Linked DNA regions of Nothobranchius furzeri. The protein of the gene in region 1 binds, or shares a complex with, the protein of each later gene. Links are inferred from orthologs where the notes say so. Each region holds a gene or a part of one and is shown in the gene's direction. Other genes may lie near its edges. The genes, in order: c17h9orf78 and ppp1r8b.

Region 1 (4,331 bases):
ATATATTGGCAAACATACAACAAGGTACCCCCTGGTACAGAGTTTGCTCAGAGTAAGGAAACAACTTGATATGTTAATATGAGATTAGTAATCTTGTATTAGGAAATACCTGGCTAAAGGTGAGCAGTAAGCATCACGAGGGCCTGCAAAATTCATGGTTCCCTCTTCGAGAACTGTCCGCCCAGGCAAAAACTTTAGACTGTTTGGATTTGGAGTATCCTGTGTCTGCACAAACATGGACCTTCCTGTAACATAAAAAATGTAATGCAAATTTTTAAAAAGGGCTACAAGAGAATTGTGGTCATTTTCTGCATGTGCAGAATGCCCGATTTTCTCACAACACCTAAGCATCTGACATCACTGTGGAAAACGTGACAATAAAAGACAATCACTCTTATTTAATAAAAAGTCACACTAGAGGTTGCAGCAAATAAACAAACCAGGAACAGTCCAGAAGGGGTTTTGTGGCCATCTGTTTGAAACTCCAGTAGCTTGCGAGGGCCAGTGGAATCCATTGCTCTGACATCCACTGCCAACAAGACTGAAAATAATGAACAGATAAACAGTAATATAAAAAAAACATTCTTTATTATAAAAAATATTATGCTGTTGTGTGTAGGGACGATTTCTTTACCGTCACTAAAATGTGGCAATAATAAGACGGGTAAACTCCTGTTTAGAAGATGTGCGAACAAGCTCCTACACTGAACAGGAACACCAAATCAAATACAAATGCTATAACTAAGGAAAGCAAAACATTAATAAAAAGGCAATGGCGCGATGACAGAGTTGTTTCAGCACGCTTTAAAAACGCGTTCTGCACATTTGTTCTGGTGATTTGTATTTTTTCCCCTACTAAATAAAAATGATCAAAAAGATGGATGCAAGATAAAAATTTATTACATTTATGCAGGTTTGTTTAGTGTTAATTTTACTTTAAGGGCATTTTTGATGGGAAAAAACATCGTAATGAAACATTCCTCGTTTCCAGACCTAATGTTTAGTCTGCGTCATTCCACACTAAACCAACAAGCTTAAACACAGTCGCATAGAAATGACTCACATGTTGCAAAAAGTAAAAGAAAAAAAATTAAACACAATAGAAGGTAAAATCCTGCAAAATATCCACTTACGGTCGTGAAAGTCTAGCAGAAATCCCCAACAACCCGCTAACGTGTTTATAAGCCGCCATGATTGTTATGGTTGTGATCCTTCAAGAAGAACGGAAGTAGATTATACTTTTCCGGAAGTGACGAATATTTTTGTACGTCTGTTAAAGTTTCCCCCCGAAATTATCAGCGTCAAGCTTACGCGCAGTAAGGCGCTGCTTCTTCAAATATTTACGTTAAACTATCTAAATATGCCTTGTGGTAGGCATTTTAGAAGAAGACAAGATTCGTCGGATGATGAAGAGGAGGATGAAACAACAGAAGAAGTCAGGTAAAATACTCGAACAACGAGTTGTTAAGATATATGTTGTGTTAGCAAACTAGCCGCTAACCCAAAATTAAAGTAACAGAACGCCATTGTTGTTAGTTGTATTTTAATAAGCTGCCTACCTAAATATGTTTGTGCTTTTGTATTTTTTTTTCTTAGATCAAAAGTAGAAGAGGCTAAAGAACTTCAGAGTTTGAGGAAACGACAGAGCGGAGTCAGGTAACATGTTAATATGAATGTAGAATGGAAGACATCTTTATTATGTAGCACGTTTCACACAGAAGCAATTAGTTGTGCTTAATGTCAATACTTAACTGCTTGGATGTGAATTAACTTACACCTTTTACTTTTTGTCTAGTGTGACAGCTTTATTGGTGGGAGAGAAACTGCCTCCAGAAGTCGAAATTGATGTAAGTTTTCTTTGGAAAAAAAAATGTGTGTGTGTGTTGAATAGCAACATGTTGAACGTTTACTTTTTTATTGATCACTTCTGACAGAATGATCCTTTCAAACTGAAGACGGGAGGAGTTGTAGACATGAAGAAAGTGAAAGACAGGAATAGAGACATGTGAGTCAAGTTTTCCACCCTCAGGTGCAACATAGATACCTGCCTGAATGCTTTGTACAATTAAACCAAATCCAGTTAATCGGATATGACTGACTCATCCAGGATGATTCATTAACAGGACAGAAGATGAAACCGACCTCAGCCTGGGCACTTCATTCTCCGCCGAGACCAACAGAAGGGATGAAGATGCAGACATGTGAGCTTTTCTTTAAACTGTATTATAATCATTTCCTCTTCAGACTCAACATTGTCCAACCTCTATTTAAATTGTGCTCTGTTTTTTTCCTCTCTAACGGAAATTTCTGACTTTTGAGATAATTTTTCTCATGTCAAGAAATTCAATAATAAAAAAATTAAGAGGTGTGTGTAGGTCGTCAACATTCATGTCCCTTTAAGAAGCTGTACCACCCTGAGCCAAAATGTGACTCAACCTAACACATGTGACAGCCCCATCTAGGCCATATCGCCCAGCCCTAAAAGGAAGGTGTTCAGTTGATTTCCTCCGTCTGGCAAAAAATATTCCATCATACATAATAAAGTTGAATTTCCACAAAGAAAACAAATTAAAAACAAGTTTGGTCCAACAATGGCTGCCCTGGACAAGAAATAACACTGGTGTTTACCTGGGTTTTCATCTCTTTAAACAACTAAAATAGTGTCAGTATTTGTCAGAAATCAAATTTTGCTCAACAAAACAATTTATGCACCAACCCCTGAATTAACCAGCTGTTAATGTTGACTGTAAAATCAGTCAAACTACAAAGACTGCTTTTGTCTGAGATGAAATGGTGTTGGAACTTTTGTTAGCATGTTACTGGCTGGCTTCATTCAGCATTTTAAGAAAAGGCTTTTTATTCTACTAAAGAAAGTTGGAAAAGCAATCTCAATTCTTGAATTACATGAACTTTGTTACTAAATATTTAAGTATCTACAAGTTAGTATTCAAAATCTTAACGTAGCTGCCATCCAGTTGTTCGTGTGGGACATTTCCCATTGTGTTTTTCTTTACAGGATGAAATATATTGAGACAGAGTTAAAAAAGAAGAAAGGCCTGGTGGAGGCTGAGGAACAGAAAATTAAGGTGAAAAATGCAGAGGACCACCTGTACGAACTTCCTGAGAACATCCGAGTGAACTCTGCCAAGAAGACAGAGGAGATGTTGTCCAATCAGATGCTGAGTGGGATCCCGGAGGTTGACCTTGGCATTGAGTAAATTCAGAAGATTCTTTAATAATTCAGCTCTTTTTATTTTACTCAAATTAATCCCTGTCGTTTCATTCTCAGTGCAAAGATTAAAAACATTATCCAGACAGAAGAGGCAAAAGCCAAACTTCTGGCAGAGCAAAGGAACAAGAAGAAAGACCTCGGGACGTCGTTTGTTCCCACGAATATTGCTGTTAATTATGTCCAACATAACCGCTGTGAGTTCAGGCTGTCTGCATCCGTTCCAGCTAGAGGAGAAAAGTTTGTTAATCATGCTTTTGTTTTCTTTTAGTCTACCATGAGGATGCAAATGCACCACAAAGGCACAACAGACACAGAGAAGAGCCCAAAGCAAGACCGCTGCGAGTGGGCGACACAGAGAAGCCAGGCCCAGAGGGTACGAGACACGACCACACAGTCACAGATACAAACCAAAAACACTTTTTGGTTCCTTTTTTCCAGAAACCAAAACCTGTACTCGTTTCTTTTGTCTGTCCGTAGCTCCGTCGCCACCGAACCCACGCAAACGTCCAAACAACGAGAAGGCCACGGATGACTACCACTACGAGAAGTTTAAGAAGATGAACCGAAGATATTAAAAAGTTGCATCTGTTTCCTCCACACAATGGCATCTGAAAATGTGAGCCGTTGCTAATTATTATTGAAAACATTTGTTGACCAAAATGTTGAAGCTCCAGATTTGTGTGATTTCCTGTTTGGTTTTTCAAACAAGTCAGCAGCTTTAGCTTCACTCTAAGTCTACAGTATTTTAGAGCTGGCTGTTCAATTATTAAGTGTGTAAAAATATATCTCGGTTTGTTTTTTTAAAACAAGAACCATACTAAAGTTTAAAAGTGATGCACTTAGCTAATGAGATGGAATAACTAGAGCAGCTGCTTGAAAATGAGACGTTAAGCAATAAAAAACCCAAAGCTGAACTGTTGGCTGCCATGTTTATCTTAAAAATAAAAAGTAGCTAATTTAAGTGGTTTACATGTAAACAAAGAACTGTAAGTATTCTGCTTTGAGCTAAATTTAATGTAAATGTCGTTTTTTTTAAATACTTTTTAATGCAAACCAAGAGGAACATTACTAATTTAGGTTTCAATAACAAAATAATTCA
Region 2 (4,417 bases), on another chromosome or scaffold:
TTTGTAAAAGGACAAAAAGACTGCAGGCTCATTTCCTTCTGCTTTAAAGAGAAACTAAAAGTATGGCAGCTTTACTTTTTCTATGACAAGACCGAAGCCTATGACCCTCAAACCCACAGTTTACAAATCAGAAAGAGAAAATAAGCAAAGCGTCAGTCGAATCTGGCTACTTATTCATCCCTTTTCTGTGTTAAACTCTAGGTGCTGAATCTTTGTAACAAATGCTGTAGGAGGCTTGTGGTATCGCTGTTTCCAAACCAACATTTCAAACTTTTTCAAAACTTTATTTTTTGGGTCTTTACTGAGAATTTGCAATTTGGAGTTCAGAGACCTCCAGTGGTTTCTTTAGGAACTTTAAATTTTATAAAAGCCACATTTTTGACAAATACATGTTAATATCTCTTAAAACAAAAAGGACATTTTTTTTTCTTATTTGAAACATTAAAAAACACCAAACAAATTTTTAATGTTAATTTTTTTTAATGAACATTTCTAAATGGACTTTGAGATAAATCCTTGTTGGTTAAACAAATGGCCTGGTTTTATCAAATAATAAAATAGTGGCTTTTAAAATTATCATCTGAATGAATCTGCTCAAATGTCTTGGGCTACTTAAATTATTCAAACAGAAAACCGTAAGTCATCTCAATCTAGATGTTCTTGTAAAATATTGTTTTTGTTTTGTTTTTGTGGAAAAGGTAACTTTTGCAATTTAGCCCATCCTTCTGTCAAAAGGCACTACCTTTGGATTGGCCACAGTTGTAAGAAATACTTTGTCTTGTTAAATAAAGGTTAAAAGTTTTAAAATAAAAACATCTGGCTGTGTCACACAAAATGCACTAAAAAGCTGTTTTCTAGGGGTGGCCATGGCCACCCCTGGCCACCCTTGGGGGCACCCTTGCGTGTGCTTGATTTGTGTTTTTGTTGGGCTGAAGAGAAGCTGCTTAAGTAAAAGTAAAATTTGTCACCTCCATCTGTCTGAAACATATAAACAGAATCAGTTTACATTAAACAAAACTATGTTGTTATGATGTACATTATCTTTCCAGTATAAAGAAAAACTTATCATTTAAGGTCTATTGTTTTAATATTAACAGAATTGGACTGAAATTATATAATTTGTTTTTATTTAATCATTATTAGGTGAGTAGCTGTTTCCGCCCCTGTTGCGCGTTAATGTTCTCTTTTGATAACAAATTGCAACTTTACACACAGTAGTAGATTTGTGATGATAAAATTAGTGTTTTTTATGAACTATAAATGTGACTTACCTGAACTTTTTTCTTTATTATTTTTAGTAGACTACTTCATACTAACTCTAAAACCCGAATTTAATCATAAACTCAACAATATATAAGTTCCACACACAACCACATCTATAAATGCGAAATATTAGCTTGTTTTTTGTACTTTTACTTTTTTTTAATATGGCGTGGTCTATTACCGGACTACATTTCCCAGCATTCCTAAGCGACAATTACCCAAAATGCATCGTTAACATGTAGAGGGAAGATGGCAGCTAAAACAAGCAAAGACGGTCCACCTTTTGACTGCCCATCATGGTGAGAAAATGCACATGTTGAAGTACTAAAATACCAACTGCAGCGCTTGATTATGTGCAAACGAGCAAAACGACGTTGTTACGTTAACAATTGTAACTTTTATAGAGGAAAGAAGTTCGTTAGCGTTAGCATCCAATCGAGCTAGCAGGCTAACCCCTCCTACAAGGCTAGCCTAAATGCGGATCACGGTTTGCTTTCTGCTTGAAAATGAATGAAAGGCTTGATTTTAAAAGTTTCTCACCTAGTTGAAACGTATAGAGGTGACAGCAGGACATTTTTTGACAGATATGCTCTTGAAGTATTCGGTTCGAGTGAAAAGAGCTAAATGTTTGAATAAATGAATTAAAATTAGATTATAAAATGGTTAAATATGCTGTAAATATATTTATGCACTGCTGTATTTTCTGAGATCAGTTCAGTGTTTAAATAAGTCTCTAATTGTTTCTTATAGGGGAGGAAAACCGCCCACAGGACTGCACTTAGACGTGATGAAAGGAGACAAACTGGTTGAGGTAACTGGAAATTTAAACTGTTATTTAGTTTGGACTCTTTAAAATCAGCTTTAATTATCTCAGTTCTATTTAATTTCTAAGTTAAAAATCCAGATTTGTTTAATCTCTTAAACATAAGCAAATTCCACAATAAAATGTCATTCCTTATTATTTTAAACATCTAATGATTCTGTTTTCCACATAGCAGAACACACATGTGATTGTTACTATTGTACAAATGTTAAAAGCACCAGATACAAGCCTGACAGTCTGCTCCGCCCTGTGCGTGTTGCACAATGGGGTTAACCTATGACTGCATGGCTTCAAAAGGTGCGAGAACAACATCAGCCCTGAGATTTAAGCCCTTCAGTGGAAAGCAACACTGTTGAGTTATAACTCAGAGGCACAAATGCATTAATGTACGCCATTACTAATTCACACCATCCGTTTCTCCTTGTAGAAACTGATCATAGATGAAAAGAAGTTCTACCTGTTTGGTAGGAACCCCGACTGGTGTGACTTCACCATCGACCATCAGTCGTGCTCGCGTGTTCACGCCGCTCTAGTCTACCATAAACACCTAAAAAGGCTCTTCCTTATAGATCTTAATAGCAGTAAGATTTCACAAACACTTTAATTATTTCTCAGTCACTCTGCTCTTTTAATGTATTAATCCTAATTATTATTATTTTTTTACAATTTAAGCACATGGTACCTTCCTCGGACACATTCGCCTTGAGCCTCACAAGCCTCAGCAGGTTCCAATCGACTCTACAATATCCTTCGGGGCGTCAACACGTACCTACACCATCAGAGAAAAACCCCAAACCCAAGGAAGCGCTGGCACCGGCGACAGTAAGACAGGAGATGAGGAGGAGCTAAAAGGACTGCTCGGGCTTCCGGAGGAAGAGACAGAGTTGGAGGTTTGTTAGAATTCAGATCAGCTCCACTGACTCGCCGCTTGTTACTCTTGACTTGTTTTGACATCCTGTTTTGCGCTTGTGGCATCTTAATGGAATTATTTGTATGCAAATTAGCCACAGTGTGAAATGATCTCAGTGTGTTTGGTTTTTTAACTCACTCACTGCCAGCCGTTTCCTGATCACTTACCCCCAAATTCCACTACCTCCGCTCCGACACGAACGCCGGAGCAAAATCGGTCCCGTTGTAGTCAATCAGAGCAATTCCACTACTGCGGCCGTGCTCCGGCAATGCGGCGCAGTGCGCTGCCCTCTGTTCCGGCGTCCGGCAAAAATAGAATCGATCCTATTTTCGCCGGACGCCGGAGCACCTCCGCAGTAAATGGACAGAAATCACAACCGCCCAACAGGAAAAGGAGCAAGCACAACTTCCGTTTTTCACAATAAATCGATAAAAAAAGGCGTTTTTTGTTTCATATGCACAGGTTTAACAACTTTTAACAACTATCAGTGGCGGCTGAAGTTTAAATGCACAAAAGTAAGCCATAAATACAGTTTCTACTATCAAAGTAGTCACACTTTGTTCATCCAAACACTGCTGATCTCTCAACACAAATGATGGGCAGATTAAACAGTTCATGCCGATGCTTCTCCCACACAACGGGTGTTTGGATCTAACTTCCGCGTTTATTGCTCGGACTGTATCGCAAGATCTCGAAAATCCCGTGCATGCTTGTTTGCCCACCTCAGGTCTCCGCACCGGAGCGGAGCCGTTGTAGAGCGGGTACCAGTAAAAATTGAGTTTGGAAGCGAGCGGCTGCGGAAGGCGGGGCGGACCGGACCAGAGCGGAATGGAGGTAGTGGAATTTGGGGGTAACGGCCTTCGCTGCCAGCGTTTCTCACCATTTTTATGATTTTTTTTAAGAGTCACAGAACGTTGCGCGCTAGCATGATGTCAATGCCAAAACAACCAAAAACAAAGAGGAGACTCACCTCTTACATCAGGAAGAAGCCGTGTGTTTCGAGCATTATCCGTTCTTTCATAATCCGTTGTCGAATTGTGATCGGCAGACGCTTTTCCGGTTCGCGCCTCACTTTTTTTTACAGGAACGGCCCAAAACGATCTCCTAACACATGGATGTTCTGCTTCCTGATCACGTGATATGTGACGTATGCGGATGAAGATCAGCTTCAGGGCTGAGATGTTTGTTCTCTCAGGGCGGGGGCTCGTGCCGATGCTCAAACAGTAAAAAAATGCAAATGACGACGTCATTGGCAGTGAATGAGTTAACTGCACCACATTTTTTCCCGACATCTCCAATTTTCTTTTTTTTTTTGTTTGTTTGCTTTTTACTGTTGATTTTTCAGCATTTTGACTTTGTTTATTAAGCTTCAAGTTGAAAGGAAGCAAAAAGCCTTAAATACTAGAGTTTTACTGCATTTT

Evidence for each region.
Region 2: c17h9orf78 (region 1) and ppp1r8b share a complex: the UniProt entries of both Homo sapiens proteins name them as parts of the spliceosome. The link is inferred for Nothobranchius furzeri from reciprocal best matches to the Homo sapiens genes C9orf78 and PPP1R8.

What each region holds. Positions count from the first base shown.
Region 1 is NC_091757.1:40,165,580-40,169,910, reverse strand, and holds c17h9orf78 (splicing factor C9orf78 homolog), read left to right. Parts: upstream 1-1,261; 5' UTR 1,262-1,360; coding exon 1,361-1,440; intron 1,441-1,596; coding exon 1,597-1,656; intron 1,657-1,795; coding exon 1,796-1,847; intron 1,848-1,934; coding exon 1,935-2,005; intron 2,006-2,123; coding exon 2,124-2,201; intron 2,202-3,016; coding exon 3,017-3,214; intron 3,215-3,289; coding exon 3,290-3,426; intron 3,427-3,500; coding exon 3,501-3,605; intron 3,606-3,709; coding exon 3,710-3,807; 3' UTR 3,808-4,146; downstream 4,147-4,331. Other genes in the region: NFU1 iron-sulfur cluster scaffold homolog, mitochondrial, read right to left, coding at 110-245, 441-541, 1,134-1,192. UniProt on the Homo sapiens protein: Plays a role in pre-mRNA splicing by promoting usage of the upstream 3'-splice site at alternative NAGNAG splice sites; these are sites featuring alternative acceptor motifs separated by only a few nucleotides. May also modulate exon inclusion events.
Region 2 is NC_091745.1:72,000,206-72,004,622, forward strand, and holds the start of ppp1r8b (protein phosphatase 1, regulatory subunit 8b), read left to right. Parts: upstream 1-1,306; 5' UTR 1,307-1,512; coding exon 1,513-1,562; intron 1,563-2,013; coding exon 2,014-2,074; intron 2,075-2,298; exon of another isoform or gene 2,299-2,464; intron 2,465-2,513; coding exon 2,514-2,667; intron 2,668-2,758; coding exon 2,759-2,976; intron 2,977-4,417. UniProt on the Homo sapiens protein: Inhibitor subunit of the major nuclear protein phosphatase-1 (PP-1). It has RNA-binding activity but does not cleave RNA and may target PP-1 to RNA-associated substrates. May also be involved in pre-mRNA splicing.